Oryzias latipes: one gene and its partners. The protein of the gene in region 7 purifies or fractionates together with the protein of the main gene of each other region. This does not show direct contact. Links are inferred from orthologs where the notes say so. Each region holds a gene or a part of one and is shown on either strand. Other genes may lie near its edges. The genes, in order: vamp4, vamp3, vti1a, vesicle-associated membrane protein 8-like, napa, stx12 and stx8.

Region 1 (4,301 bases), on a different chromosome or scaffold from region 7:
TTCAAATTTGTTGGGTCACCACCTTTAAGTAGAGGTAACACATAAGCGGACTTCCAAGCATGCGGAATGGTGTTTGTGGACAAAGACAAATTAAATAAATAGGTCAGTGGAAGTGCGATAGAGTCTGCTGCCGCTTTTATAAAATATGGTTCCAGATCATCAGGACCAGCAGATTTAGTAGGATCAAGGAGTTTAAGGGCTTCTGAGACTTCTGAAGTTGTGAAGAGGGAAAATGAGAAATTATGTATTAAATCTTCGTGATTCACAGGGAGGGAGTACTCAGCTGAATGTTTTATAGAATTAAATAATGATCCAGAGGAAACAAAATGCTCATTAAAACATAAAAGCATCTCTGTCTTGTCTGTTATATTACAAGTGTTTTTCATTATACTTGAAGGGAGCTCAATACCTGAATTATTTTCATTTAGGGACTTAACTATCTTCCAAAACTTTGAGGGATTATTTAAATTTTCTGTAGTATTTTTCAAAAAATGGTCAGATTTCACATTTCGAATTGCAGTAGTGCAAGCATTGCGTAGTTTTCTGAATGCCAGCCAGTCAGATGCATTATCAGAATGTCTAGCTTTTGCCCATGCTACATTCCTTTCATGTAGTTGGTTAGCCAAATCTGAGCTAAACCACGGATTATTACGACCTTTCACTTTATAGTGCCTGATAGGAGCATGTCTATCAAGGATTTTTGTAAATTCATTATGGAAATAACTCCAGGCCCTTTCAACATTATCAATTTCCATCATCGTGTGCCAGTCAAATTCATATAGTTCTTGACAAAAGGATTGTTCACAAAATTGCTTGACATTGCGTTTTATGATAATGTGTGGTTTGGTTTTGGGCATTTTTGTGTTTCTCGATGTAGCAATGATACAGTGATCACTTATATCATTTGCAAATACAGCAGCAGTTGAATACTTTGAAGGAGAATTTGTAAGAATCAAATCAATTAGCGAGGATTTCTCCGGAAATTTGGGGTTAGGTCGAGTAGGATCATTTACTAATTGAAAGAGGTTCAGGGAATCACAGTAAGATTTAAAATCATCAGAAACAGCTTGCAACCAGTTCCAGTTTAAATCTCCAATTATTACAACTTCATTGTATTTTAAGGAAGACAGCAGTTCCATTAAAGAGGGAAGAGCAGAGCCATCAGCAGAGGGCGCTCTATAGCAACCAACTAGGGTAATATGCAGAGAATTAGAGATCTCCAGATCAAGAGCTAAAAGTTCAAATTTCTTTGCCATTGATGTTTGCAGAAGAACTTTTGCATTAAGTTTAGTTTTGATATAGATGGCTATACCTCCCCCCCTTTTGGGACGATCAGCCCTAAAAACATTATAACCATTGATATGTATGTCAAAGTCAGTTATTGATTTGTTTAACCATGTTTCAGAAACAACAATTACATCTGCTTCAGTTGAAATTGCCCAAATGCGTATCATATCCATTTTAGGCAATAAACTCCTTACATTGAGATGAATGAATCCAAGACCATTACGAGATTTGAAGTCTTCAGGAGTACTAAAAGTAGGACTATCTGGTCCAGGGTTTGGTGGAATATTCCCGGAGATTAACAACAATAAGAAGATGAGGCGTCTTTGAAGTTGTGGTTTCTTACATACTGCATTTGAAGGTCCTAGAGATGGGAACGTTTTTAAGAATGCTATAGTAGAGTTTATAGTAAAATTCTTCTGAAGAACCATTACACAGCTGAGGTGCAGCAGTTCATTTGGATTGTCTGAGAGACACACAGATGCGTATGCATTATGACATTCATGAATAAAAGTTTTTGTTCCAGCATGAAATACACAACACACTGGATTCACTGGACGGGAGTCATCTGACTCCCGAAGAGCTACGGCAATGCCAAAGTCTCCGATGGAATATAAGGCCAATGTTAGCAGGAAGAATATTTCAGCCCTTGATATTATTTGCCGGGGGCTTTGAAGGAAGGTATTTAAAACTTTGGCCATGGCAGCCTTCAGTCCAGATATCTGCCAGAATCCAGTTCGGGATACACCGAGAGCCGTTTTTTTTTTTTTTTTTTTTTTTTTTGTTTTGTTTTGTTTTTTGTCAGACGTCCTCCCGTGACGTGCCACACAAACAGCAAGGAACACGGAGCTTGAAAGCTGCGGGCAAAAAGAGCGAAATTACTGCCCAAGCTTAGTTCAACTTTAAATGGGTATAGATCACACGATCCGAGGGTTGAATCAAGCACTTTCCTTCACACAAAGATAGCAAGCTCATCAACCAGCCAAGCGCTCCTGGATCTGCTTCGGATAGGGCATATCACACAGGTGCTAGGAAGGCAGGACGGCATCAGCATCTCAACTTTGGCAAAAATATATACAATAGTGCGCCAGCTTCGATAGAAGGTAAATTGGGACTTCCCTTAATTGATGAAGTATAAGGCCCGTCAAGGTTAGTCACGCCAGGAATCCAGCGACGATCACCCGGTGATAATCTTCATGATGACCGCATACAGTTCATGATCGTCGAAAAAATAAAAAATAAAAATAAAAAAAATAAAAATAAAAAATGGAGCGTTCCTTCGAATATCAGTGAACCAACCCTGGTTTTGGGTCTTAATGAATCGAGTAGGCTTTGACTCACAGAGTTTCGGAGCTAGCCTTTCTAAAAACAAGCACGGTAATTGATAAACAAAATACCATTCTCAGAAAGGCCAGAAACAACTATAAATTATAATCTAAAATAGCTTAAAAGTCGTTAAGAAAAAATAAAAATAAACTCATTCATTCACAGGACGCTAACAGACAGACAGAGTGCGTGCTGCCATCTTGGCGTCTCGACCTGTGCACCAAATAAAAATAGGACGCCCAGACATGGATAACCAGGGGGGTATTCCAGGGAGCATATTAAAACTACCCTGACTTTAATCCTGAACTCTGGCTGAAATCCGCCTGAACTTGCTTACTCTGGGTATGTTGGTTCCAAAAGACCGGATATGAGTTAGCGTAATTACGCTCGACTTGGTAACCCTGGGTTAATGCACGTGCACAGCAAGTACATAAAGACATTCTCAATGGATCACCGATTTCCGGAGTCACCATGGAAACGCGTGGTGAAAAAAAGAGAGCGCTACAATTCAGTGAGACGGAGTCTGAGATTAATGACGGCGTATGAAGATTATAAACCCATCAAAAAAGTAACACGGCTGCATCATCAAAAGAAAAAAGGAAAAAAAAGAGTTTCTGCTTGCAGAAAAATAACGGACAAAGTAAAAGCAATAGTTTCTGATCTTATTTCTATTATTCTTGTGACGCATATATATATATAACTTATCCAACTTAAATGAATTACTTATTACTTTATTCAACCTAATTTCTTACGTCTATCCAACTCAATATTTCTTTTTACAACTCAAATTTACATATTTATCTAACTAAATATCATATTACTCCAGTTTAATTAAATGTTTTTCAATCTTAATTTATTGCAATTCTTGAACTCTCCTATGTCTAAGAGGCTGCAGATTTTCTCATTTTTATAACAATAAAATGAATGAAACAAAATGGAACCACATTATGAAGTCTGTTCTCTGACTTAAATATTCCTCCACTGGGCAGTAAAGGTTCTAAATAAACTCGTGATCCTCTTCCTCCCTCTCCCTCATGGTGCTGAAAGAATTAAACATAACAGGGTAAAATAACTTGGTAAAACACATTAAAACAGCTAAACAACTAAACACATTTTGTCAAAAAACCACACTTGAACCCAAATCCGTCCAGACAGGCAAAGTGAATGGTATCCCACAATCCCTTGCGGTGCCGATCTAACAGCAGCACCAAAGTTACACCTACTTAATTGAATTAATTTGAATGAAAGTAAAATAACTGATAACTACGTGTTATTTTTAAGCTGACTTAAAAATGATTTCTCTTAACTGAAGCACATAATTAAGTTAGATCAAAGTAAAAAAGTTTATCTTTCCAACATCCATATGTGGTCTTATCACCATTTCACTGTGGAAAAAGTATTATCTGAGCTTCTTCATCCACTAAATCATCTTCAAATGGACACGCCATGCTGCTTCACCTCTCTGAAAACAAACTAACCTTCAACTAAACCTGCTCCAGACCAGGTTATGTTCAGAGCATGAGTTGCCATGGCAACTTGACATACCCTGAAACATACCTCTGTTTTTGGAACTGAAAGCTGAGGTTATCAACTTCCTTAGCCTCAAACTTACTGTGGTAGCTCACATAACCTGCTTTCTGGAACAGGGCCCTGGGCTTTCAGTAGTGCTACGTCTGAATCACTCAACACCG
Region 2 (4,217 bases), on a different chromosome or scaffold from region 7:
TGCTTTAAGGGTTCCTCTGAAATTATCAGATAGGAGAAATAGAGTTTCAATGTTTGGAGAATTTTAATCTGAGGTCATGAGTGTTTAAGAAACCAGCACATCAGTCATGAATTGAGCATTGCTGCAAGAACTATCTCTTCAGGAAATAATTTAGTGAAAGATTAGGTTTTTACAGTTTAATTGTACTTAAAATATTTACATTGGTTAAGTGATTTGTAGAAATACAGCATTTTAAAGAACGTTTAGTGTAAAGCAAACACCTCCACAAGCAAAGAGATCTTTTGGGAGGATATTCTTTTTAATACTTGGTTGTTCAGATACAAACAATAATCAGTGTAAAGGGTATTATTCTTTTAAGTAACAAAAAAGCTCCACAAACACGGGAGAGCTCTTAAAACCAGACAAGATTTGATAATGATATGGGATTATTTCATGACAAAATATACTGGTTTATCTAAAAGATACAGTCGTCAAACAAATAAAATGTAAACACAAAAATAAAGGAAAAGACACAAGAGGAATAGAACTCAATCAAACTGTCGTCACAAAATTTGTTTCAAAAACATCTTAAGAACTGGTTCAAGACGCTCCCACAAATAATGCCTGTTTACCTTCTTCAATCAAACCATGCCATCATAAATGTCAACAAGTTAGAAACAATGTTTTTATGATTGTATAGTGCTTGTGATTGTCTCTCCTGGTTTTAAATTATCATTGTATTGTTACCACTTAAGATGTTTATCAATTCCTACTGTTCTATTATATTTGTATTTAGTTTTTACATATTGTTTATACTGCTCTTTTTTATTTATTTATATTGCATTTTTACTCTTTTGCAAGCTTGTTATATACTATAATTCTACTTTTTGTTCATGTTGTATTTTTGCTGGAAATTTCACATAGTTTTAAGGAAGACAAGGTTGGTACCAGTCCAAGGACTACTGATGAATAATAGCTTTATGATGTTTTTTAATGCACAATATCCCTGTTAAATAAACAGATAAACGAACAATTATTTAAATAATATGTCCCTCATATTTGTTTTTTCTAAACAAGCAACAGTTTAAAAAACGCTCCGTTTCATCTTTTATAGAAAAAATAATAATAATAATAATTATTGAGGTCATCATCCAAAGTTAATATTAACTTACAAAAAAAGTTGTATTTTAGTTAAATCTCCTTCCAGAGAATTTCTACTGCTGAAATTAAATTAAATTTGAATGTCAGTCACCGTTCCCCAACTCTGTTCATGAATATGTCAAACAAGTCTGACTTTCATCAAACCTTATCCTAATTATTATGCTCCTATATTTATGCTTTTTATAGTAGACATCGGTGATGTTATATTATTAAAAATAAAAAATGGTACATTAAAAAACCAAACAAACAAACAAAGAGAGCAAGATATTGTGTTGTTGTCACTCCAAACTAGCAGTAATCCGCATATTATGAATGTATGTGATATTGATATTGCGTTGTTAAACTATATAATATGGGCAGCTAACTAGAAGAAGCGAGGCCGACTTCAGACAGACAGACCGGTTCAACAGAAACATAAACTTGACCGTACTTAACAGATAGTCCTTCATTATATATTTTGAAATTTTAAATAAGTTCTTAACCACCTAAAAAAAACGATGAAAGTTTTCCCAAAAATTGACTTTTAAGTAGCAACAGCGCGCGACTGCTAACGCTAGCTTAGCTTTCATTACCTTCAGAAGAGAAAAAACGAGCTAACCTATTTAGCACTTGTTGCATGCTAGGAGCAAAGTTTAGGGCGTTCTCTTTTCGGCGTTTCATAAACGGTAACACGACACACATTAGGTTGAAAATATTTCAAAAGCTACGAAAACAGGTTTATAGACTTACATGATGAAGATTATTGTGTTTTAACGACACCGCCGCTGTTTCTCGATAGTTATTTCTCCGCCGTAACAGCTAGTGCTGTCGTTTGAAATGCTGCCTTCAGGGTCGTCGGAAACGGGAAATACCAAACAGTGAGAATTATTGTTCAAGATTGACTAATTTCAAGAAACTCCGTTTCAAATGGTTGTATGGTTACAAAAACTGAGATGTGGTAAAGATAAAAAATAATTCATAACATAAAAACGTTATTGGGCTTGTTCAAACAGACACTTTTGCAGAGAAATATAATTATTTGATCAACCATTCTTCTTTCTACCCCTAACAGATGTAAAGTAGTAATTGTTTACTGGATTTAAAAATAATAAAAATAAAACATTTAATTCAGTGTAGTATAGACAGTCTTAAAAATTACATTTTGAAGTACGGAACACCCTCCCCCCTCACCCCAAGATCAGATTTCAAGAACTCAAAAGGTCCAGTATCCTTGTTTAGACAAAATCTCAATACTCAATAAAAAATTAAATCTCTGTGTTCCTGTTTGTTATCATAGAGTGTAATGTGTGGAGAAAGCAACGACAAGCTCATGATCAGCATGTGACAGGAAAACACACAAAAATTCCTTTAGCTGCCTGTAGTTGTTCACAAAGCAATTTTATTTTATAAAATGCTCAGAGAAATAGAATAGTCATTAAAGAAGACAGACGCAGAAACTAAATGGATCACTTGTGAATTGAATAACAGATATTAAGAAAAAACATCACAAGTTTGAATAAAAGAAGTTTAATAAGTTCTTAACCACCTAAAAAAACGATGAAAGTTTTCCCAAAAATTGACTTTTAAGTAGCAACAGCGCGCGACTGCTAACGCTAGCTTAGCTTTCATTACTTTCAGAAGAGAAAAAACGAGCTAACCTATTTAGCACTTGTTGCATGCTAGGAGCAAAGTTTAGGGCGTTCTCTTTTCGGCGTTTCATAAACGGTAACACGACACACATTAGGTTGAAAATATTTCAAAAGCTACGAAAACAGGTTTATAGACTTACATGATGAAGATTATTGTGTTTTAACGACACCGCCGCTGTTTCTCGATAGTTATTTCTCCGCCGTAACAGCTAGTGCTGTCGTTTGAAATGCTGCCTTCAGGGTCGTCGGAAACGGGAAATACCAAACAGTGAGAATTATTGTTCAAGATTGACTAATTTCAAGAAACTCCGTTTCAAATGGTTGTATGGTTACAAAAACTGAGATGTGGTAAAGATAAAAAATAATTCATAACATAAAAACGTTATTGGGCTTGTTCAAACAGACACTTTTGCAGAGAAATATAATTATTTGATCAACCATTCTTCTTTCTACCCCTAACAGATGTAAAGTAGTAATTGTTTACTGGATTTAAAAATAATAAAAATAAAACATTTAATTCAGTGTAGTATAGACAGTCTTAAAAATTACATTTTGAAGTACGGAACACCCTCCCCCCTCACCCCAAGATCAGATTTCAAGAACTCAAAAGGTCCAGTATCCTTGTTTAGACAAAATCTCAATACTCAATAAAAAATTAAATCTCTGTGTTCCTGTTTGTTATCATAGAGTGTAATGTGTGGAGAAAGCAACGACAAGCTCATGATCAGCATGTGACAGGAAAACACACAAAAATTCCTTTAGCTGCCTGTAGTTGTTCACAAAGCAATTTTATTTTATAAAATGCTCAGAGAAATAGAATAGTCATTAAAGAAGACAGACGCAGAAACTAAATGGATCACTTGTGAATTGAATAACAGATATTAAGAAAAAACATCACAAGTTTGAATAAAAGAAGTTCGAGATAACTTGTGTTTGAATCAGTTTCAGGTACACACAATAACAATGGACATGGATCATGTCTCTCTAGATTAAGAAAAAAATTTAAAAAACTAAAATCTATTTTAGTTAGAAAAAATAATAGTCTATTTTCAGGTATTCTGAAAAAAGGCGTTATATTTTCAGACTAAATGCAGACATCTCCAGCTCTCATTGCACACACTAATTCTTGCAATCAGGTTTCTTAATGTTTTTGCTTCAAAATAACATTTCATACATTGATCATTTCATACATATATATATATATATATATATATATATATATATATATATATATATATATACATACAATTTTTTTTTACTTGTTGAAAGATCTACTTTGATTTATCAAGAGTACATGCTAGCTGCAATAATTTGCAAGGTTGTGGTTTGTCTATTTGCTGTTTCTCAACTGAGGTGGTTTGCGTTTTGGCTCCGTTCCAGATCCTTCAAAAACCTCAGCTTCCTTTGCAGCTTCAGTTGGTTTCTGGGGGGGAAGTTTTTTTTTAAATC
Region 3 (4,156 bases), on a different chromosome or scaffold from region 7:
CCCACTGGAAGCTTAAGAAAATGTTCTTTTTTTTTTTTTTTTGTTGGGGACCTGAAATGTTTGGACTCTGCCTGAGTGTGCTACTTGTTTCTTATATCTTGCAAAGTCAGCAGTGCACACATTTTTATTTTCATCTTTCAAGAATCCAACTACATCCCTGGTCTGTGGTCACCCGGCCTTTCCGTGTCCCGGTGTGTCTTGCCCTTGAAGAGCGCAGCATGCTCCCCTCTCAAATCCTGAAGCACAGGAACCTTGTGAGAGTCCGTTTACCCATCTGATGGAGAGAAAGAGAGAAAAAAAGGGGACAAGCATTTATCATAGAGTGCTAAAAGAAAAGGCTATATTTCCTCTTTATATATGCAAAATAGGTGCTATTTATCTGGAAAACAGGTAGTTGTGGGTCACATATTGACTCCTATCTTTATATAGAAATCTATATATTCTAAAGAACGACATAACTATAATGAAAACACTTTTAATGGTCAAATTAATTACGTTTTATTGTTTTTTAAAAACAGAGATATTGGAAGGGTGAAGCTTTGAATGAAAGAAGAAGAAACTCCATGCACAACTAATTAGCTTGTCAAGTCAAGCTTAGCTAGCAAATTCAAAACAACATTTTAAGCTAATTCCAACAAGTTTCTCTATGTATCAGGAATTCATACATTCATACTAACATCTTGCAAAATTGTAATTAGCTTGGCTGTTTAGATAAACATGTTTCGGCTTAAGAGTAGATGCATGCAGCAGGTAGCGAAGAAGTGAGGTTGGTTAGTTAGCTAGCTCGTTCACCATCTTCCACTACCAGCACTGACAGGAAAACCATTTCAAACTCGAAAAAAGAAAGATGAATCAAACATGACACACGAACGTAAAGCTACGTAGAAATAAACACATTGAATAGTGTTTCAGTAAATAAGCTGTCACTTTAAATTAGTTTAACCTTACCACTTGCACTTCGGATTTTTGTTTTCCTCCCCTATGTGCCCTGAGAACCTTCCTAGTTGCGTCTCGGATTGAAAATCCGTCAACTACAAACAGTCAGATCAAATTTAAAACAAAATGAAAAAATATATGTTTTGTTAAATAACACAACAAAGAGATAGGCGTGATAGTTTTCCGAAACCCTCTCTCAGTAGTAGCGCCAACAGAACACCCAGTTCCTAGCCGGACACCTTTTAGTGTGACTCAAGGAAGAAGCTTGTTATTATTTTGAGCTAACTGTCAGCCCTAGAGCTACTTTGCTACCTAAACGTACTGGTCAAAATGTCTTCAGACTTTGAATCCTACGAGCAGGACTTTGGAACGACTACAGCCGAGTTAACAAATAAAATCGGCAGAATTCCCAAACTAAGTGGAGGTAAGACTTTTACCATTTTAGCGTCAATTAATGATGAGCTGGCAGGCTAGCTAGTAGTAGCAAGAAAGCCTCAGTTCTAGTAGAAGGTGTAGCTTTAATTGTTAACTCTAACTTGTTTGAAATCGTTATAAATATATTATGTTGATACATTTACACGTTTATATTCGCCGTGTGACTCAGTTACTGTGCTCTTTCTGTAGGAACAAAAACAAGTGACCGACTACCTGTGGTTATAATAAATTAATGGTAGAGGCCAGTGTCAAATAGAAACATTATGTCAAATTTATATTATAGATTTTAAGATTATAATTTAAAACCAAAGTTGTTCTTTAGCTTTAAGCAACTGGTTTTAAAGTATTAAAATATTTAAGAAAAATACTTCTAGATTCTACAGATGGCAAGAAACTCCTAACCCATCATAGCTGCTGCCTGTTTTCTGTCAACTTACATAATAGTATTAGAACTGTGATAATCTCTATTCTCTTTTACTATTCTAACATCTTAAACACTTTTAAAATTTAACATCATCAATAATTGTGTACTTAAGCTTCATTTAATTGACTAGAAACATATGTACTTTCCTATTTAAAGTACTCAGTTTAATTTATATCCCAGGGTATTTACTCCACTAATTTGAGAATGGGTTTCAACACTACTAAAAATGTCACTAACATAACAAGAGAGCATATGTGTTCAAATGAAAACAAAAGATCCAAAGTGGAACGTGCATTTTAATAATATTTAGTGGTCTACTACCATCAAATAGTCACCATTTTAGACTTTTACATCCAATGTTTGAAAGCACTTCTATCAATTCTTCTTAAGCCTCTATTTCTTATTTATGCATTTAGTTTTTCTTTCCCAACTATTGCTTAACTTCTGTTAACTTACTGTAGTAAATGAAAACCTTTTCACGATAATTTTGAGGATTTAACTGCAAACCAATACCCTTAGCAAATCAAGTTGTTGTGATATGTCATAAGGTTTTTAATCCCAGTGGGATATGATGCAAAAAGACAATGATTATATTGTACACATGCCTCAGTTAGTTCACATAAAACAATCAAACCATATAGTGTTGGAAGTCTGAACCTAATCATATTATTTACTTAAAAAATATGAACTGCACTGTCATGGTAAGCAATAAAAGAGACACTGTACATATTTATCTCACTTTAAACACTTCTTTGTCACATATGTCCCTGCATATCCATGAAGATGAAGACATTTCTACAGCATATTTTAAATTAGTTGCACATCTTTATTATGTCAAAGCACGAGGAGGACATGTGTTGGTCACAATTTGTGTTTCACAGTAAGACCATATTGTATTTGTCACTTTATTTATGGCACTTTGCTTTGTTTGTATAAGAAAGCATTACTACGGCAGTTATATGGATCACCTCACTGAAACACTTATATTGCAGCCTATACGGAATAATATGCAGTTCATATTGTAACTGTCACAAAATAGTGTGAGCAGATTTCAGATAAGTAGCATATAGTATATTATAAGAATGATTAAGTATGAATGAAGAGTGAATGAATAATGGACAAATTGTTAGCGCTTTGAGCACCAAGAAAAAGCACAGATAAATCTAATGAATTATTATTATTATTATAAAAGACATGAATGAATACAAATTTAAGTCTTTAATTGTAAAAAATCTAACAGAACTAAAAAAAAAACTTAAAAAAATTCACCTGAACATGTGAAACAATGTACTGCTGGTTAAATGCGTAATAGCAATAGACCGGTCAGTTTATTTATATGGCGTCTTACTATGACCGTATAAAACAAGGAGCTATTCATTGAAACTCAACACATTAAAACAACAGTTTAAATGATAACACAATTTAAAAGTTAAATAGTAAAATATTTATAATATTGGAAAATAAAAACACAGTCAAAATAAAACACACCAACAGAGCAGCGTCTAATGGGCAAAAGCCTGGCAATAAAAGTTTTCAGAAGCTTTTTATAAATAGACTGTGAGGACGCTTAGCGAGGCATTCCTCACCTTTGGTGCACAGACTGAAAAAGCCCATTCCTCCTTTAACTTTCTCTTGAACTTTTGTACTCTAATCAGAACCCAGTCAGCTGCCATGAGGCACTGACTGGCATGAAGGGAGAGACAGGCTCAAAGAGGCACGGTTAATTAAAAAAAATTAAATGAAACGGAAGAATCTTAAAGTTAACGTCCAAAATGCACTGGCAGCCAGTGAAGGAAAGCTCCAATTGGGGCGACGTGGTCCCTCTTTAGTGTTCTGGACCACTTAAAGAAGCGGAAGGGACAAGAGGCTGACTCTGAAAGTTACAGTAATCCATTTTAGTTTCTGATGAAAGCATGGATTACTGTCTGAAAGTGTAGTCTTGATAAACAGCGTCACCTTCACCAGCTACCTTAAAGAAAAGAAGCTATACAAAGCGAATTTAGCTATCACGTTTAAAATCACTGTCCGTTTCTGACCTAGATTTGTCCCAGACTTTTAAATGTGAATCAGGAGAATCAGATCTACTGTGGAGGGGTCACACGACTCACTTTAAACTGTCTAAAACAAACTAGGACATAGTTAATTATTTGTTTTTCTAGAAAATCCTATAATTGATAATGACACAGATGTTCTGGTTTGGATGTGATATCTTTGAAGAGTCATGCGTATTTTGAAGAGTATTTGTATGCCTGCCGGGAACTCACTACTGGAGGTTTGGCATTGCCAGAAGCAACCTTTTGCCGGTCACCCACCACAAAAACATATGCTGCCTTTCTACAGACATGTTGGCTTCATGATGTT
Region 4 (3,421 bases), on a different chromosome or scaffold from region 7:
TTTAATCGATTGTCTGAGGTGTTATAATTGGAATAGTTTTAAAATACATATTCTTATCTTCAGCAGCACAGTAGTGTCTTCTTGCTGCTTATAGGCAAAGTTACTAAAAGTATATACCTGCAAGTAAATCTGCTGCAGCGAGGATCTCATTTGACACAAGGCGTATTTTATTTTGAAAGGAACATGTATGAGCTGCTGTCAAAAGTAGAAGCTAAAGTTGTTATCAATAGAAAATGTTAACAGAAAGTATTATATAAAGGCTACATTTTTTAAGTGAATGGTTTAATAGTCACACAATCATAAATAAAATGTACTTTTCTGAATAATAAAGTGACTTTTTCGCTCTTGCTGCGTTTTGGTCACTAGGAAACAAACCCAAGTGGCTATTTTGGCATAAAAGGTTGTAAACCCCTGTTTTAGAGCATCACAAAACTTTATGTATGTCAAAATAAAGTTCTTTTATTCTTTTGTTAAACATGTTGTTTAAGGTAACTTATTACAACTGCATAGAGTTGTTTCAAAAAGAAAAAAGTGAAGAGCACTGGTGTGAACTTTATTCTTTTATTGGACATTTATAAATTCACTTTCAAATCTTTTAAATTAACCAATCAGGGCATTTTTTAGCACTTTTGAGGCAGAAAGAAGAAAAGCTCACCGACACAGGATGAATGACATAAATACTATTTATTGAATCCACCAATAAAACCATTAAATACCAGAAAGTCTGGACAATTCTATAAGAGATAAACTTGACAGAATGACGCCTTACCACAGCAGCAGTCGTAAATAGCTTAAACAGACTAGAAGGGAAGAGAGGAAGATCTCATGCAATAGAGAAAGACTGCAGATCAGGCGACCAGGAGCCCCGGCGACCAGGAGCCCCGGCGACCAGGAGCCCCGGCGACCAGGAGCCCCGGCGACCAGGAGCCCCGGCGACCAGGAGCCCCGGCGACCAGGAGCCCCGGCGACCAGGAGCCCCGGCGACCAGGAGCCCCGGCGACCAGGAGCCCCGGCGACCAGGAGCCCCGGCGACCAGGAGCCCCGGCGACCAGGAGCCCCGGCGACCAGGAGGCCCGGCGACCAGGAGCCCCGGCGACCAGGAGGCCCGGCGACCAGGAGGCCCGGCGACCAGGAGGCCCGGCGACCAGGAGGCCCGGCGACCAGGAGGCCCGGCGACCAGGAGGCCCGGAGGCCCAGCTTTATCAGAGACGCACGTACAGAAGAAACTAAACACATACAAACATTTCTTCTGTAATATTTTACCATTAATTTCTATGTAAATTATCTGCTCAAACTGACAAAAATATTAATTGATTTGATGCAAAAAATAAACCATTACATTTTTCAAGAAACACTTTGATTAAGACACTGATTAGTTATGGAACCTGGAGAAAATGTCAGCTATTTACAGTTAAGTAGAAGCATAAATCAATGCTGCGGGACGAGAAACACAAACTTGCATCCTGGGAGTAAGAATACGTTGAAATTGACTTTTTCCAGCAGTGACTGGCATGACTAGACCAGAAGGGGGCGAAAGGCACATGATCTAAATGGCTTCTCTCAGCTGATAGGCTGGAAAAGCCTCTCATCATCCTCATGCTGGCTTTGGTTTTACTACATGAAGCCGCAAAGGAAGGGCTTCGTGTTGTAACATGAACGGCAGAGGGACCGGCAGAGAAAGAAAAATCAAAGAAAACAGCAATGAAGAACCATACCAAATTGTACAACCTTGTGTAAACATCTCATCCAATGACAAAACACTTCTGCACGATTCTGCCTTTCAGCGCTTTCAGCCCTGAATGCACCACTGACCCCTTCAAAAGGTTGGAAAAGTACCATCTGAGTGTAACAAACTCCAGGGCTTTGTTTCTGTAGCCACGTTTCCAAAAACGATGAGCAGAGAGAAAAAAGTAGTGGATTTTGGATAAAACAAACATGACTGATATAACTGGTAACATTTACTTCTAATGTGCGATTCAGCCCAGCGTCAGATATATTTATCAATTTAATACAGATCAACTTGTACAGAAGTTTGTAACAGAAAAAATAAAATAAAATAGTCTTAGATAATTGGACATTGCATGCAATATTGACGTGGCCAACAGGAGGCGTTTCACTTCTATAAATAACTAGGAGACGCTCCTTTATCACATGATGAAGGTGACAAGCAGCTGATATCAAAGAAGAACCGGATTAAGAGGAAACTAAAGTGTCAAATATTTCTTCATAGGAGAGTAATTTTCAAGAGTCTGTACATTACAGTGTGCAACTGGGATGTGTGTGCTTCATCCATGTATCAGCTATCCGAGTGTTGCTGTGGGCTCAGGGTTTGGTGGTGGGGGTGACGATGGGAGGCACGGGGTTTCCGGTGGGAATGACGCCGGTGGCCAGCAGCACGATGATGAGGATGATGACGAGGACGATGACCACCAGCACCACCACCAGCTTGACGTTCTTCCACCAGTAAGAGCGGGCGACTTTCTGTGCCGTGTGCTTGAAGTGCTGAGCCTGTGCGAGGGAGGGGGGAGAAGAGAAGAAAGCCAGTCAGGAGGGGAATGCTTCTGATGGATCGGGTACAAGACCTCAAACTAGGGTGGTGGGGTCATGTGACAGATGGAAGACAGCAGCTAAAAGAAGGAACGACTCATGCATGGAGATCACTTTGACGAACAGGCACCATCAATATTCTAGGATTAAACTAAAGAAATAACATCAGATTCCTGAGAGAATTTACTGCTAGAGAGGAAAATAAGCAACTACTTTCCCAATTCCAGTCTCAAGCTACGTATACATCTTAAGCCCTTGGTGTTCACACTGGACTAGCGAACCTGTGCTGTTTACCAGCACATGTCCACCACCTATAGTTAGCAGAATTCTTTCACAGTTTCATTCCAATATATAAAAGACTTGAAGTCAAAGAATTCCATCTGGGCACAAATCACAGTTATTCATTTCTCCTCCATGCTCAATGTTCAAATGGTTGACACTTCCTTGAATGACAAAGATGTCTTCCATTCGCCTCTACCAAATCTGACTCCCTGATTGGTCAAAGTTCAGCCTGGTTTAACCCTTTAACCCTTCACGTAGCAATCTAGTCAGAAGTGAGGTGCATCTAATGTTCTCATTTCGAACAGTCAGGCTAAACGCGGGGAGCGTCCACTTATCACTTGACCAGCGCTAACCGGCTCCCTACGCAGTGCGCATGGTTTGAGGAGATTGAAATATCGTCAAGGGTAGTGACTAATGCTGCGTTCACACCGAACGCGAAACTCCCGTCTGCTGCCTGCTGTTTGACAAACGGCAAATCCTCTGCTTCACGCTTAGACTTGGTGCTCCCGATGCATGTGGGAGGAGCTACCGTCAAACCTTTTTAGCCTCATCAATACATGGAAGCCTTGACTGCTTATCTACAAACCCCAAA
Region 5 (3,719 bases), on a different chromosome or scaffold from region 7:
GGGAGGAGTGAAAGGAGTGGGGTGCTTGGTACGGGGAGGGGGGCCCTATTTTTTAATTTTTGTGCTTGTTTATTTTAATCGTCATGCTTGTTTTTATATTTTGTTGTGTTTTAATGTAAAGCACTTTGTGTTGTATTTTTATATGCAAAGTGCTTTATAAATAAAGTTTTGATTTGATTTGATGATTAAAGCCGAAGGTTCACATTATTTCTCTCATGTTGTGCTCAATAACGCATAGAGGTTTAAGGTGAACATTTTTCTTTTTCAAGAGTCATCTTTTAAATGCAGAAAATAGTAAAACCCAGATGCTTTTCATTTTTACAACTTTAAAAAAAAAAAAAAAAAAAAAAAAATTCTAAGAGTGTGGATGACAGGACTGTGTTTAACATTTCTACTGGTTTCATTAAGCTGTGCAACACTTGTGAATACAGGGTTCAAACACCGGCACGGAGGTAGAGTGTCCACCCTGAAACTGGGCAACTGCACGCCGCAGTGGAGAGTTCAAATAGAGTGTAAATCAAAAGAACAATTGAAAAGAAGAAAAAGGTAAATAAAAATGTAAAAAAAAATAATTTCGCAACGAAAAAGTTGTTTAAATATTTATTTTCTCTTCAAATTTGATTTATTTAATTAGAAAATTAAACATTTACGTCTTTTAGAAGATAAAATGCAACGATTCGTATATGTTTGGCAAAATAAAAGTGTATGTGCAAATATTTATATACATATATATGACTCTTAATTAACCAAGAATGGATATTTCATCAACCATATCATAAAAAACATGCCGACAAGTCTGCTAATCTCTTCAAATCACTTTAAATCTCTAAATCTGTTCAATTTTTCATCCTTTGCGTCGCTTTGGTCTGGAGTAAAACTGAGTGGTGCTTCTTCTTCTGCGTTTCCATCAGTGGCAAGTACTGGCACGCCTATAGCGCCCTCTAGTGGTTGTTGCTATTCATTTCAAAAATATCACATAAATCACACCTCCAGCCAAACTACGCACAAAAAACCCACCATGACCTATTCTCCAAAAAATACGTATTTTATACTTTAAAATAAATTCTTGGTACTTTAATGGTAATTTCTTGAAATATTTCTGTTGCCAGGAACAGTTTCTACAGATGTTTTTATTTGTATTTATTTATTTTACTTACACTTGTTTGTCAAGACAGACTTATTTTGCAAACACTTTTTTAAGAAATAAAACAAACATATTCTGTAATCTGACCTTATCGATGTCCAACAGCTCGGTCTCATAAATCTCAGCAATGGTGATGTGGTGCTTTGCTGCAATAGTGAAACGGCCCTAAAATGGTAAAAAGTCAACTGTAAAAATATAAATAAATAAAAAAGGAGCACATCCTATGATTTTTTTTTTTTCTTCCCATTTTAAGTGAGCTTGCAGCTTTGAAACTCACCATGTCGGTGTAAATCTCGATTGCTCGGTTTAAGCAGTTTATGGCCTCTGTGGAGAAAACAAACAAAAATAAAAGGTAAAATATAAACTGGTGGAAAGAAAAAAACAAAACTGGGGTTTAATGGTCTCATGTTGAAAAATAAAAGGAAACCAGAGCCGTCTCTTTAAGCTGTTTCTAAACCGCCAAGCTTGAAAATATAAAAGTTTCCTCAGTCCAGAGGGATAACATTTCTTATTGTGTTGCTTTTGCACGCAAATTAAGGGACCGGTTAAATGTTTAACCACTCAGTTGATCTGAATACTCTGTCAAATCGCAGCAGACATGGACAGGCAGAGCGTCTCCTGCTGCAAACCACCTTTTGAATTAGAATAGGGAGTCTACAGATTTACAAAAGAGAATTTAAGGATCTTTAATACCTTTTTAAAGAACACTCAAAATCCCAATTTAAGACTGTATATTAAAAGAAAATGAAACAAACAGCTGAAGTCTGTGGTTTCTTGTGGCATTTTTCTGATGAAGGAGGACATATATAAATGAAATTAAGATTAAAATTGCATTTGAATATTGCTCCACTTCATCCTGATGCATCCACTTGCAGACACATAGATCCACGAATGTCTTTGTTTTCCTCGTCTGATCTGGAATCTGGATCAAAACTGTACGGCTGGATGGCTCCAACATTGCTCGCCACTTTTGTTGCACTCGTCATGTTAAGTTGAGGGTGTGAGAGGCTGACAGATAGCAGAAGAACGTATAAACAGAAAGCTCTCAGTCACGGGTGACGGGAAAGGGGGTTGCTCCACGCCAACAGTCAGAGAAGAATTTCAAAGGAAACTATGTCCTAGAAATAATTTTGGCTAAAAACGGCATAATCATAAGTAAAATAACCCACTGGGAACGCTTTGACAATAGATCAAAAGATGATCGAGCCAGCCAGTAGAAAAATGTTTAAAATACTGAAATGTCTTCTTAAAGCTCTCACGTCAGGGGAAAAATGTTTTGGGGTTTGTGATCCTCAGGCCTGAACTCATAGGAGGGTTAAAAGCTAAGTTTGTGTGAATTTCACATCGTCGTTTCCTCATTATTTGCCATGGCCCACAGGAAGACAAGTTCCAGCTGTTGTGGCATAGTTCACCGTGTTAGAATCAGTGGCTGCATCTGAAACCTGGACCTAGCGAGTGCCACGTCGCCCGTACTAGTTGGTTCACTTCTAAATCCGACAAAATTAGGTCAATTTTTTCGAAATATGGGGATCGCCATATTGGAGCCGTCTGTAAGCGGTGATTGGTCCGAGTCGGACTGAATCCACATTTTTTAGCCAACTACCAATCGGGAGTCTGCAGCACGCTGCACAAAATCTGTCAAACATTTGAAATGTTGGACGTGGGGGCCAGCAGGCTCCTCCTTTTATTGAAGCATCTAAATAAGCATCAAATAAGTAATAGTTTATTACTTGGAATAACATAAACTACACAGACAAATACCATAGAAAGGGTTATCAGTTGCCAATTTCCATTTATTGTGCTTTTAATTAGGCCTGCACAATTAATCGCAAATTTATTGTTATCGCGATTTCAAGCTGTGCAATATCCAGATCGCAAAAGTCAGCGAAAATTTGCAATAAATGGTAAACTTTAAATGTGCTAAAACAATCTTATGGCAACTTTAACTATTTAATGAATTGAATAAATCCCTTTAGGCATTTGACCAATAGGATGGAGCTCTTACGTTAGATGTTGCCCTGCTAATTAGATCAGGGTCATTTGGAGAATAATTTAAGGTATTTTTACTCTTATTTAAATTAAACATTTGCAGGGAAATAGAAATGTTTTTGTTGTTTTTGCTAGTGGTTCATTTATCGCAAGTTATATCGTCATCGCAATATTGATCACTAATATCGCATATCGCGAGTTTTCCTCATATCGTGCAGCCCTACTTTTAATGTTTATTTTTGAACTTTGTTTTGTACAGTGTCCTATTATTATCAAGAACATGTTTAAAAAAAAAAAAGGTATTAGAGCAAGAATGGTTATTCTGACAAATAGAGTCAGTTTGTTTCTAAGAACACAATCAATCAATCACTTCACTAAAAATGCTGAACACTGATAATCAGTCTTCGTTCCAACAGAAAGCATCCTTCTGAATCAGATATGACCAACAACTGAATCATCCCAACATCATCCCTGGTCTGCATATTCTTTTTGTTTTTTTTGTTTTAGGAAAGGCGTGAAGGCCCACGTTCTCCAATGTTTGCATATTCAAAGCAACCTGTCATATATTCGAGGAAGCAAGTTCTGT
Region 6 (4,265 bases), on a different chromosome or scaffold from region 7:
TGTTTTACACGTCATTGACGTATTTCCGGTCGAAAAATGCGGAAGTGTGAAAAAGGTCTATTACCACAGGCACCACTGTCACCTTCACTTTCCAGGCTTTCTCCAGTTCTTCTCTGAGTCTCTGGTATTTCTCCAGTTTCTCATGTTCCTTCTTCCTGATGTTCCCATCACTTGGCACTGCCACATCCACCACAACGGCTTTCCTCTGTTCTTTATCCACCACTACAATGTCTGGTTGGTTCGCCATTACCATCCTGTCAGTCAGTATCTGGAAGTCCCACAGGATCTTTGCCCTTTCATTCTCTATCACCTTCAGAGGTGTTTCTCTTTTTGACTTTGAGGTTTCCAGTTCATATTCTGCACACGTGTTTCTGTATATTATTCCAGCCACTTGATAATGGCACTCCATGTATGTTTTCCCTTGCAGCATCTTCAACCCCGCAGTTATGGTGTAAATGGCGTACACTTACAGTATATAGCGCTTTTCTACCTACAAGGCCCAAAGCGGTTTACAAACACAGACCCATTCACACACTGGTGGCGGCAGATTTATAACTGTAAACAATAAATCCTTGTTTATTTCTGAATAATGGTGTGTGTTTTGTCTATGACTTGATGCGTACTGATGGAATGCTGTTATCATACAATGGGTTTGTAACTAAATACAAAATTAAGGATTCTAGTAACTGTTATAGCAAAGTCTGTTAAGCAATTACCATACCTTTACTTAATCTTATTCATAACATATTACAATACAATGCAATCAAACCACAATTTCCAGAATTAATGGAAAAGTTAATGATATTCCCCTAAAAGATAAAAAAGGCAACAATAAACTCTAACCTTTAAACAAATAATTTTCTGCAACTTTAGCATAAACAATGAACGCGACTTAGAAACCACCCTAATGGACAAATCTTTTTCTTTATACACAAAGTACCCACTTCCACCTAAAATGAAAGAAACGCATTTTAAAATAATATCTAAAATTTACCCTGTTGGAGATTTTTTACATAAAAGATTCAAATTTCAATCAGAACCACGCATATTCTGTTCATCTGAAACTGAAACGTAGAACATCTCTTTTACAGTTGCAAAAATATTTTGGACTGATATTCACAGTTGGTTGTCACTCAAAGTTTTAAATATTCCCTTTTTTTCCTTATCTGATGTTCTTTTCTATATGAAAAATCTGGACCCGGGAATTTCTTTTTTTTCTATATGCGCATTTATAACGTTTGTTCACCCTTACTTGGTCTGTATGAGCATTTAAAAAAAACAAAACAACAAAAAACAACGTCATACCGAAATGTCACATACCAGGAAGTCGAATGCTCAGTTTTGATTGGTGGCTCACTGGACCCGGGCACGCTACAGCGTTTTGATTGGTGGTTTGGTTTCAAATGCGTGACCTGATTGGTTGTCAGAGGAAGTAGGGCTCGGTGATCTCAGCTGAATCCGGAACCAAGCCCTGATCGAAGGGCGAGAATTTGTTTCTTCAGCTGAATCATATGCAAGTATAAAATAAACGTCAGTTACCTTGTTTCGTAGTTTCAAATGTCGATTAAACGCTATTTTAAATATGCAACGCAACGATTTCATCGTTTATAATCTAACGCTTAGAAGTTAGCACGTTTAGCTAACACGTTAGCATCGTTCCGCTACGTGTTGTTGGGAATGTCACTCTGTGATGTAAAATTCCGTTAGCAGAACGTCGCTCTGGTAACATTGTTGTGGTTATACTATCAATATGTTAACGTTGCGGCTTCATGTTTGTCTATAAGTCAACATCTGCTGGTTAGTTAAATAAGCGTACGGGTCTTATGGTGTGCGTCATGTCAAAAAAAAAAAGCAGCGAAATCCTAACAGTTCTGTATATACTTTACTAGTCTGTATTATAATTTTGTGTGATGATTTTAATAAATGTCAGCTTTTTAGTCTGTGCGTTTTAGTAAGTTTTGAAGCGTGATTGCATTCTCCCTCCGACCTACATTTGGAGTTTTAGATTGAATTATTCATGTTAAATAACAGTTTGTGGCCTTTTTCAAATTTCCTTTTCTTTTTTTGCATGCACAGTTTTAGCTCAACATCAAAGCCAAGCCTTCCGCCTCAAACATGTCCTACGGTAAAGCGGAGTTCCGCCCTGTCCCGAGGGACTTTGGCTCCCTTATTCAGACATGCAGCTCCAACATCCAGAAGATCACACAGAACAGTGAGTCCTCCATTGCTGGGAGCTGAGACTCATTGTTAGTCACTGGCTCAGGAAGAAGTCATGTGAGAATGCTTACAAGAATCGTGATGATCTGCTGCTTAACTCAGGCCTGTTCAGGGGGGGAGATCCAGGTTAAGCAATCACATGGCTAATTCATCACAAGTGCTTCAGGAAAATACACTATTCTAAATGTTCAGGTTTGCTTCCTTTTTGAGATGTGTACAGTAAATAAGTGCTTACATTCTTTGGTACAAAACTCACAAATTAAGTTGCATTTTCTGCTGTCTATACAAGAATGGACACTAAACTATTTCTTAGCTCGTTTGCTTCTGCGGTTTGGATTGGTTTTTGTGTTTTTTTCTGTGTTGTTGTTTGATATCTGTGCACACAGATGATCCCTGAGTAAAGGTTTTGGAGATTAAGATTGTTTCTGTTTTCCTGACAGCCGCACAGATTAAGACCATGGTGAACCAGCAAGGGACAAGGCAAGACTCCAGTGAACTTCACGATCGTCTGTATGTCATCATTTCTTGTTTCATTTTTTTCTACCAGTTTTAATGAAAACACAGGCAGATGGAGGTTTTCTAGCTGGTTAACATCTGATGCAAATATCAGTGTTATCTTTGTTGGTAATAACCTCCTAATGAGGCTGAATATGAGACCAACACTGATGCAATTATTCAATAAGGCACCCTGACTTATGTTTAAGACAATATGAAAAAAAAAACTAACACAGCCAGTTTGCTTTACATGCATTTCTTGCACACACTGTTGTTAATCATATGTATTGAGAAGTAAAACCTTTAAAATTGTTATAATTCAGGCTTTTTGGTGACAAAATTTGGTTTCAGCTACAAAACCTACATCTACTGACCCAGGAGTCCTCCTGCTTTGCACATTTAAGTGATGCTGTGAGACCAGGAAGAGGTTAAATGACTGTTGCTGGTGGTTGTGGAGTAAACTTCAATAATCTCTTTTGTCTTCTGCGACTAAATGAATGTGTCACACTTTTTGATGGCGTGTTTTCACTTTGCAAAGAATTTTAAAATTTTGATTTATTTCAGAGCTGGTAGAAAAGCTCTATTATTTGATTTAAAAAAAAATACTAAGAAAATTAAAAATTTCAAGCTTTATTTGAATTGAATTGACAATAAAAGCAATTTACAGATGCATTAACAGTAGTGCATTACACATTGAGTGTGCTTTAGTGTGGAGCAGAATGGCTGGGACTGTAATAGCCTGAATCTGGGAAGCAGCTTCTTCTTGTGGCTGATGTTCAGTCCTGTTTTTATTGATGCACAGTTTTCTCTGCAGGCAGCAGATCCAGCACTACACTAACCAGCTTGCGAAGGAAACCAACAAACACCTTAAAGAACTAGGCTCTGTCCCTGCGCCTCTATCCCCCTCTGAACAGGTAAGTGGGAGTTTGTTGAAACGTCTGCATGAAGACCAAATCCTGAGTTTTTACCAAAACTGTCTCCCCTGACTGCAGTATTCCAAACACGGTGTGCAGCAGTACTTCAAAGTATTTTTGCAGCAGAAAGGTTTAACTGGAGGGAGATGGTTTGCTGTTGTGACCTCTGAAGTGATCAGATATTAGTAAAAGAAGGCGATTCTTGTAGTTGAGATTTGCTAATTTTTTGTTTTGTAAATTTTAAGCAGGAGATGAAAGCCGAGTTTATGTATAAACGATACAGAGGAAGCAGGGATTTTTCCTGAAAATCTTTAGGAAAAAATAGGAGTTAAGTTACAATGTTGCTGCTTGAATGTTGGAAAGTGATTGTCAGGATTGAACTTTAAAATCTTAACCGTTATCTAAATGCTTTTTTAAAAAGTGTCTCCTAATGTGCTTTGGGTGCTCTGCTCTGTCCAGAGGCAGCAGAAGATTCAGAGAGACCGGCTCATGAGTGATTTCTCTGCGGCGCTCAACAACTTCCAGGCGGTTCAGCGACACGCAGCCGAGAAAGAGCGGGAGTCCATAGCCAGAGCCAGAGCGGGATCCCGCCTCTCAGTGAGTGAGACTCAGGAATGGATTCACACAACACCAGGAAAA
Region 7 (4,232 bases):
AAAGGTTCTGGTAGAAAAAAGTGGAACGAGCTTCTTTAACCTCTTACCACCCGAGCTAACATTTGAGCTAACCCTCTAAGCATGAGATCACAGAGTTACGCAGAATTAACTACTGTGGTAAAATAACCCAAAATGTGATGCCCACGCATGTGGACGCCACGTCCTAAGAGGTTACAGTTGCTCAGAGGAGGTGTCAGGAGTTTCTTCGCAGATCAATCGATTACATTTTTGGAGCAGATTTGAATAGAGGACAGTGATAATTTGGTTAACTGTACTGTTGATTCATTCAGAACCTTTACTAAATCACTACACAGCTTGATGTGTTAGCAAATGCCGTAGTCTGAACTTCCCTTACAGGTGGATACGGGTGTCTGCAGGCCAAAAATAGGCAAACCTGTATGGGGCCCGCAGTGGCCCCTAGGAAAATTTCAGATGGCAGCAGCCGGGTTTACCCGTTGAGAAAAAATGTTCATGCACATTTTTTTTCTAAAACTAAACAAACGTAATATTTACAACCATAAAGAAATTAAAAATATAAAAAATGTATATAATGGTATCCTAACTTTTACAAGGTTGACATTTTGAAACGTCTTTAAGTGACATTTCTAAGCGCAAAGCAATCAGAGCAGATGCAAAACAAAGCTGTCAAAATGGCAGGAAGGAAGTCTTTCTTCTAAGTGACACGTGGAGATATCAAAGCACATGGGTCGAAAAGACTGAAAGGAAGATGGTGACCAGCAACATTTCATTAAAGAATAGGGCTTGTGACCCCTTTGGTTAAAAACAAATACAAGCAGAAGAGAATTCCTTCATTTTAATTAGGCAGCCGTAGACCTCGATATAGTAATTAAATAAGTGATCCTCTAAGAAAGAAGAAGGCAGGAAGAAGAATCAAGGGGGCTGATGCTCAACTTGGCCTTTAAGACACTTACTGAGGAAGATTTTAAAAAACATTCTGCACCTAATGATGCAAAGATTTGAGAAAACTTCCAGTTTCTATCTTAGTTATTATAAACAATAGAGATTAGATTTTTGAAAGACTGTAGATAAATTCTCTGTATGGTAATACCTGGTAGTCTCAGGCTCTGTGACGTCTCCTCTGAAACTTGCATTCAGCTGCTTTTCTCTGGTTAGCAGGTCATCAACAAGGTTCTGTCTTCTGTCAGCTTCTGCCTGCATTCTGATTTGAGCTTGTTAAGAAACAATTTATTATAATATTCATTTATTAGAGCATTGTCTATGTCCTCCTGTCTATCAGAGAGAAGGAAAAAAAAAGTCCAGTTAAACAATCTTTTAAATCCACTAAAACTACAGTTCCCAGAGCCCCATCCCTTCACATTTGGTATTATTGAAAGGTCCTAAATGACCTCTGTAGATACCACAAGAAGTCAGTAATTTGCTTTGGTTGGGAGATGTTCCATTTTAGAATGTCCCCTACAGAGGACGAATTTACATTGCTAGTCAAGAGGATACTATATTGCAAATAAAGGATGTTTCCTTCTTTTGCATAACTCTACCGCCCTCTGTAGGAATTCCACTGTTACTGCAAGCTGAGAAAACACTCCAGGAATGATTCTAATGCAAGTCCCATGACTCTCTGTGCTTGGGTATTGTAATTGGAAAGGATACATTCGCCGAGATGAAGATGTTCGCAACAAGCTGTCTTTAAGCTGGGCGTTATTCTGCTTCAGTTTCTGGAGTGAAGCCCGTAATGTCATGTTTATCTGGAGAAACAAACAAATGCAAAAAAAACAAAACACTTTTGTATACAATTAGGCAAATCACAGGTTTAATTTTCATTGAATATGAATATCCAGGACCATACCTTAGAAGGGTTTCCCCCTGTTCTCTGCTGTCTGTTCCTCTCATGAATGTTTTCTGCTATTTCCTGTGCTAGACGGCACGTGGCATCATAATTCTGTAACCTACAAATGAAAAGACTTCATTAAATGCAAGTCTCTACACTTTAGAAGTGCATACGATGCCAGACAAATCCGAAGGACTAAAATTAGAGCATTTTGACAATTTTCAGAGTGGATTTTAGGAAACAGCAGCGGTATAAAAACCTTTTGAACAAACATTTATTTACTCAGCTGGAATTAAGAGGTTTACAGGGAGGAGAGGTGAAGAAGGTGGAGGACTTTAGGTAGTTAGAATCTGGAAAAGAGGTGGGAAAGCCTGTGCAAGCAGGTTGAAGCGGATGGAGGAAGGATTCAGGCCAAATGTCAAGAATAGTAACAGAAAAAATGAAAATAAATGTGTAGAAGAAGGTGAGAGCAGCCATGTTGTTGATTTAGAGAATCTGAGAAAGAGACAGGATGCAAAACTGAAGGAAACCGAGCTGAATATGTTTACGTTCTCTTTAGAAGATCGATGGAATCAGGAATGAAAACATCAGAGAATCCGTTTATATTAGGTGTTTTTGGAGATAAACAGGGAAGCAGGTTAAGAAGAGGAACATAAATTAAGTATACTGTCCTAAGTTTTCACATCCATGTGTAGCAGACGTTTTTTCTTTTCACAAACACATTCAAACGTAACATTAAAGTATACGACTTTCGCCGGTTTGTTTTCCCCGTTTCTGAAGCTAAATCTTTGGACTTTCTTAGCATTACGTTGTTTAACAACTAATAACTTAAAGAAATCTCAGAAAAATCAAGTCAAACAGACATTACTATATAAAATGCTTCTCCTAAAACACAAAAATAACTTTTCTACTAAATATTTATGTGGCTGTTTTTGGCTAATCTCTTCAAGGAACTAGCTACTAAGGCTAACTGCTAGCAAAGCAGTTTTTAAAGATTAAAAACCGGCATTTTCCTGGAACTGATCCACTCTTTTGTTAAGAACAGATATCATTTCCTACCAAAGGTCTTGAGACATTGTGACAACAATTAGATATAAAGAATAAATTCCACGGAATAAGGTCGTAATCCCAAAAAGTCACTTGTTTTGATTGTGACGTCACGACTACGGCAAGCGGTGTGCTACATCCGTTCGCGCTGCTCATAATGCCGCAAAGGGAATTCATGAATGTTCTCCCCCACTTAGGTATGACTTTTTAACAAATTATTAGTTTGTATCAAATGTAATTTATATTTAAAAAACGGTGTTTATTTTCAGATGTCTGAAACAGATTTCGTTTAAATCAATCAGATTATGTGTTCTCCTATTCTGAACAAAAGTATTAACATCCCACTCTGACCATTTTTTGTTCTATTGTAAAAGCGTTTCCTGATGTTTGTTGATTATTATTATTCCGTTTTTAGTCAAAATTAAGCAAACAAACAAACACAAAATAAGTGTCTGTTTTTACAACATAGTTTCTGCAGAGCGGTAGGAGTTTGTTAGAATTTGTCTCTGAGATACAGGAGGGACTGTTGGTGTGGAGTAAGCCCATCCCACTTCCCAACATCCATCTGTTGACTCGTTTTCCACTAGCTTACACCTGTAGATTTTTCTTGAGGCTCACAAAAAACCCTGAAGGAAAACAAAAAGAAACATTTTAATCAGGTTGTTGTACAGAAAAAATTATTTATTATTACTATTACTTTTTGTTCATTTTTTCACAACTGTATGTCCTTACGTGAGCCATGACGTTGGTAAAACAGAGAAAAAGAGATTAGTTTTTGAGCCATTTTGTCTTTATTCTACAACAAGAGAATGAAAGTAGAAAAATCCAGTTATGTGTTTGCTTTGTGACTTTTTTTTGTTTTAAATATGCCTTTCAAAAATCAATTGCATAATTTGGTGTAATTAATGGTAAAATAAACATAATAAGGGCAGCTAAAAGATACATAACTTTATTTTCAATTTTGTCTATTTAAAAAAAAGCGTAATTGAAAATGCTCATTTATTTAACTGAAGAGGACAAATACTGAAAAAAAGACCACAAGCACAAATTACATATCCGTTTTTGTGGTTTACGCTTCTTTATCACACATGTATAAAGCAAAAGGAAATCTATACATCTTAAGAAGACCAGATGAAAAAAAAAAAGTTTTAATTCTAAGCAGCAAAAAAATATTCTAAGAATTGTCTTCAAACATGTCAGTCTAATTCTGAGTGACCTATTTTCACCCTCCTCTTGTTATGCTCACCTCTGTTTTCCTTAGAGTAAACTGAAACGACAGATCAACAGCATGTCTTGTTCATGAGTGTTTTTAAAGTTCACATCAGTAGGACCCACAAGAGAGGTAAGTGGTTGTAAAGGTTTTATGTTTCATAGCCAA

What was found.
Region 1: the proteins of stx8 (region 7) and vamp4 purify together in Homo sapiens (co-immunoprecipitation; 3 studies listed by BioGRID and IntAct, counting the BioPlex papers as one, with this or other methods). This does not show direct contact. The link is inferred for Oryzias latipes from reciprocal best matches to the Homo sapiens genes STX8 and VAMP4.
Region 2: the proteins of stx8 (region 7) and vamp3 purify together in Homo sapiens (co-immunoprecipitation; 3 studies listed by BioGRID and IntAct, with this or other methods). This does not show direct contact. The link is inferred for Oryzias latipes from reciprocal best matches to the Homo sapiens genes STX8 and VAMP3.
Region 3: the proteins of stx8 (region 7) and vti1a purify together in Homo sapiens (affinity purification with mass spectrometry; 3 studies listed by BioGRID and IntAct, with this or other methods). This does not show direct contact. The link is inferred for Oryzias latipes from reciprocal best matches to the Homo sapiens genes STX8 and VTI1A.
Region 4: the proteins of stx8 (region 7) and vesicle-associated membrane protein 8-like purify together in Homo sapiens (co-immunoprecipitation; 5 studies listed by BioGRID and IntAct, with this or other methods). This does not show direct contact. The link is inferred for Oryzias latipes from reciprocal best matches to the Homo sapiens genes STX8 and VAMP8.
Region 5: the proteins of stx8 (region 7) and napa purify together in Homo sapiens (affinity purification with mass spectrometry; 4 studies listed by BioGRID and IntAct, with this or other methods). This does not show direct contact. The link is inferred for Oryzias latipes from reciprocal best matches to the Homo sapiens genes STX8 and NAPA.
Region 6: the proteins of stx8 (region 7) and stx12 purify together in Homo sapiens (affinity purification with mass spectrometry; 3 studies listed by BioGRID and IntAct, counting the BioPlex papers as one, with this or other methods). This does not show direct contact. The link is inferred for Oryzias latipes from reciprocal best matches to the Homo sapiens genes STX8 and STX12.

Annotation. Positions count from the first base shown.
Region 1 is NC_019862.2:3,865,127-3,869,427, reverse strand, and holds the start of vamp4 (vesicle-associated membrane protein 4), read right to left. Parts: upstream 2,947-4,301; 5' UTR 1-2,946. UniProt on the Homo sapiens protein: Involved in the pathway that functions to remove an inhibitor (probably synaptotagmin-4) of calcium-triggered exocytosis during the maturation of secretory granules.
Region 2 is NC_019863.2:28,591,680-28,595,896, reverse strand, and holds the start of vamp3 (vesicle-associated membrane protein 3), read right to left. Parts: upstream 3,019-4,217; 5' UTR 2,911-3,018; coding exon 2,909-2,910; intron 1,999-2,908; exon of another isoform or gene 1,872-1,998; coding exon of another isoform or gene 1,870-1,871; intron 1-1,869. UniProt on the Homo sapiens protein: SNARE involved in vesicular transport from the late endosomes to the trans-Golgi network.
Region 3 is NC_019877.2:9,985,439-9,989,594, reverse strand, and holds the start of vti1a (vesicle transport through interaction with t-SNAREs homolog 1A), read left to right. Parts: upstream 1-1,162; 5' UTR 1,163-1,266; coding exon 1,267-1,360; intron 1,361-4,156. UniProt on the Homo sapiens protein: V-SNARE that mediates vesicle transport pathways through interactions with t-SNAREs on the target membrane. These interactions are proposed to mediate aspects of the specificity of vesicle trafficking and to promote fusion of the lipid bilayers.
Region 4 is NC_019867.2:25,800,757-25,804,177, forward strand, and holds the end of vesicle-associated membrane protein 8-like, read right to left. Parts: intron 2,509-3,421; coding exon 2,323-2,508; 3' UTR 666-2,322; downstream 1-665. UniProt on the Homo sapiens protein: SNAREs, soluble N-ethylmaleimide-sensitive factor-attachment protein receptors, are essential proteins for fusion of cellular membranes.
Region 5 is NC_019871.2:5,024,730-5,028,448, forward strand, and holds part of napa (alpha-soluble NSF attachment protein), read right to left. Parts: intron 1,469-3,719; coding exon 1,422-1,468; intron 1,310-1,421; coding exon 1,232-1,309; intron 1-1,231. UniProt on the Homo sapiens protein: Required for vesicular transport between the endoplasmic reticulum and the Golgi apparatus. Together with GNA12 promotes CDH5 localization to plasma membrane.
Region 6 is NC_019869.2:17,750,801-17,755,065, reverse strand, and holds the start of stx12 (syntaxin-12), read left to right. Parts: upstream 1-1,397; 5' UTR 1,398-1,513; exon of another isoform or gene 1,514-1,530; intron 1,531-2,076; 5' UTR 2,077-2,115; coding exon 2,116-2,212; intron 2,213-2,657; coding exon 2,658-2,727; intron 2,728-3,526; coding exon 3,527-3,626; intron 3,627-4,085; coding exon 4,086-4,223; intron 4,224-4,265. UniProt on the Homo sapiens protein: SNARE promoting fusion of transport vesicles with target membranes. Together with SNARE STX6, promotes movement of vesicles from endosomes to the cell membrane, and may therefore function in the endocytic recycling pathway.
Region 7 is NC_019859.2:9,118,997-9,123,228, forward strand, and holds the start of stx8 (syntaxin-8), read right to left. Parts: upstream 2,991-4,232; 5' UTR 2,884-2,990; coding exon 2,867-2,883; intron 1,926-2,866; coding exon 1,826-1,925; intron 1,725-1,825; coding exon 1,630-1,724; intron 1,181-1,629; coding exon 1,070-1,180; intron 1-1,069. UniProt on the Homo sapiens protein: Vesicle trafficking protein that functions in the early secretory pathway, possibly by mediating retrograde transport from cis-Golgi membranes to the ER.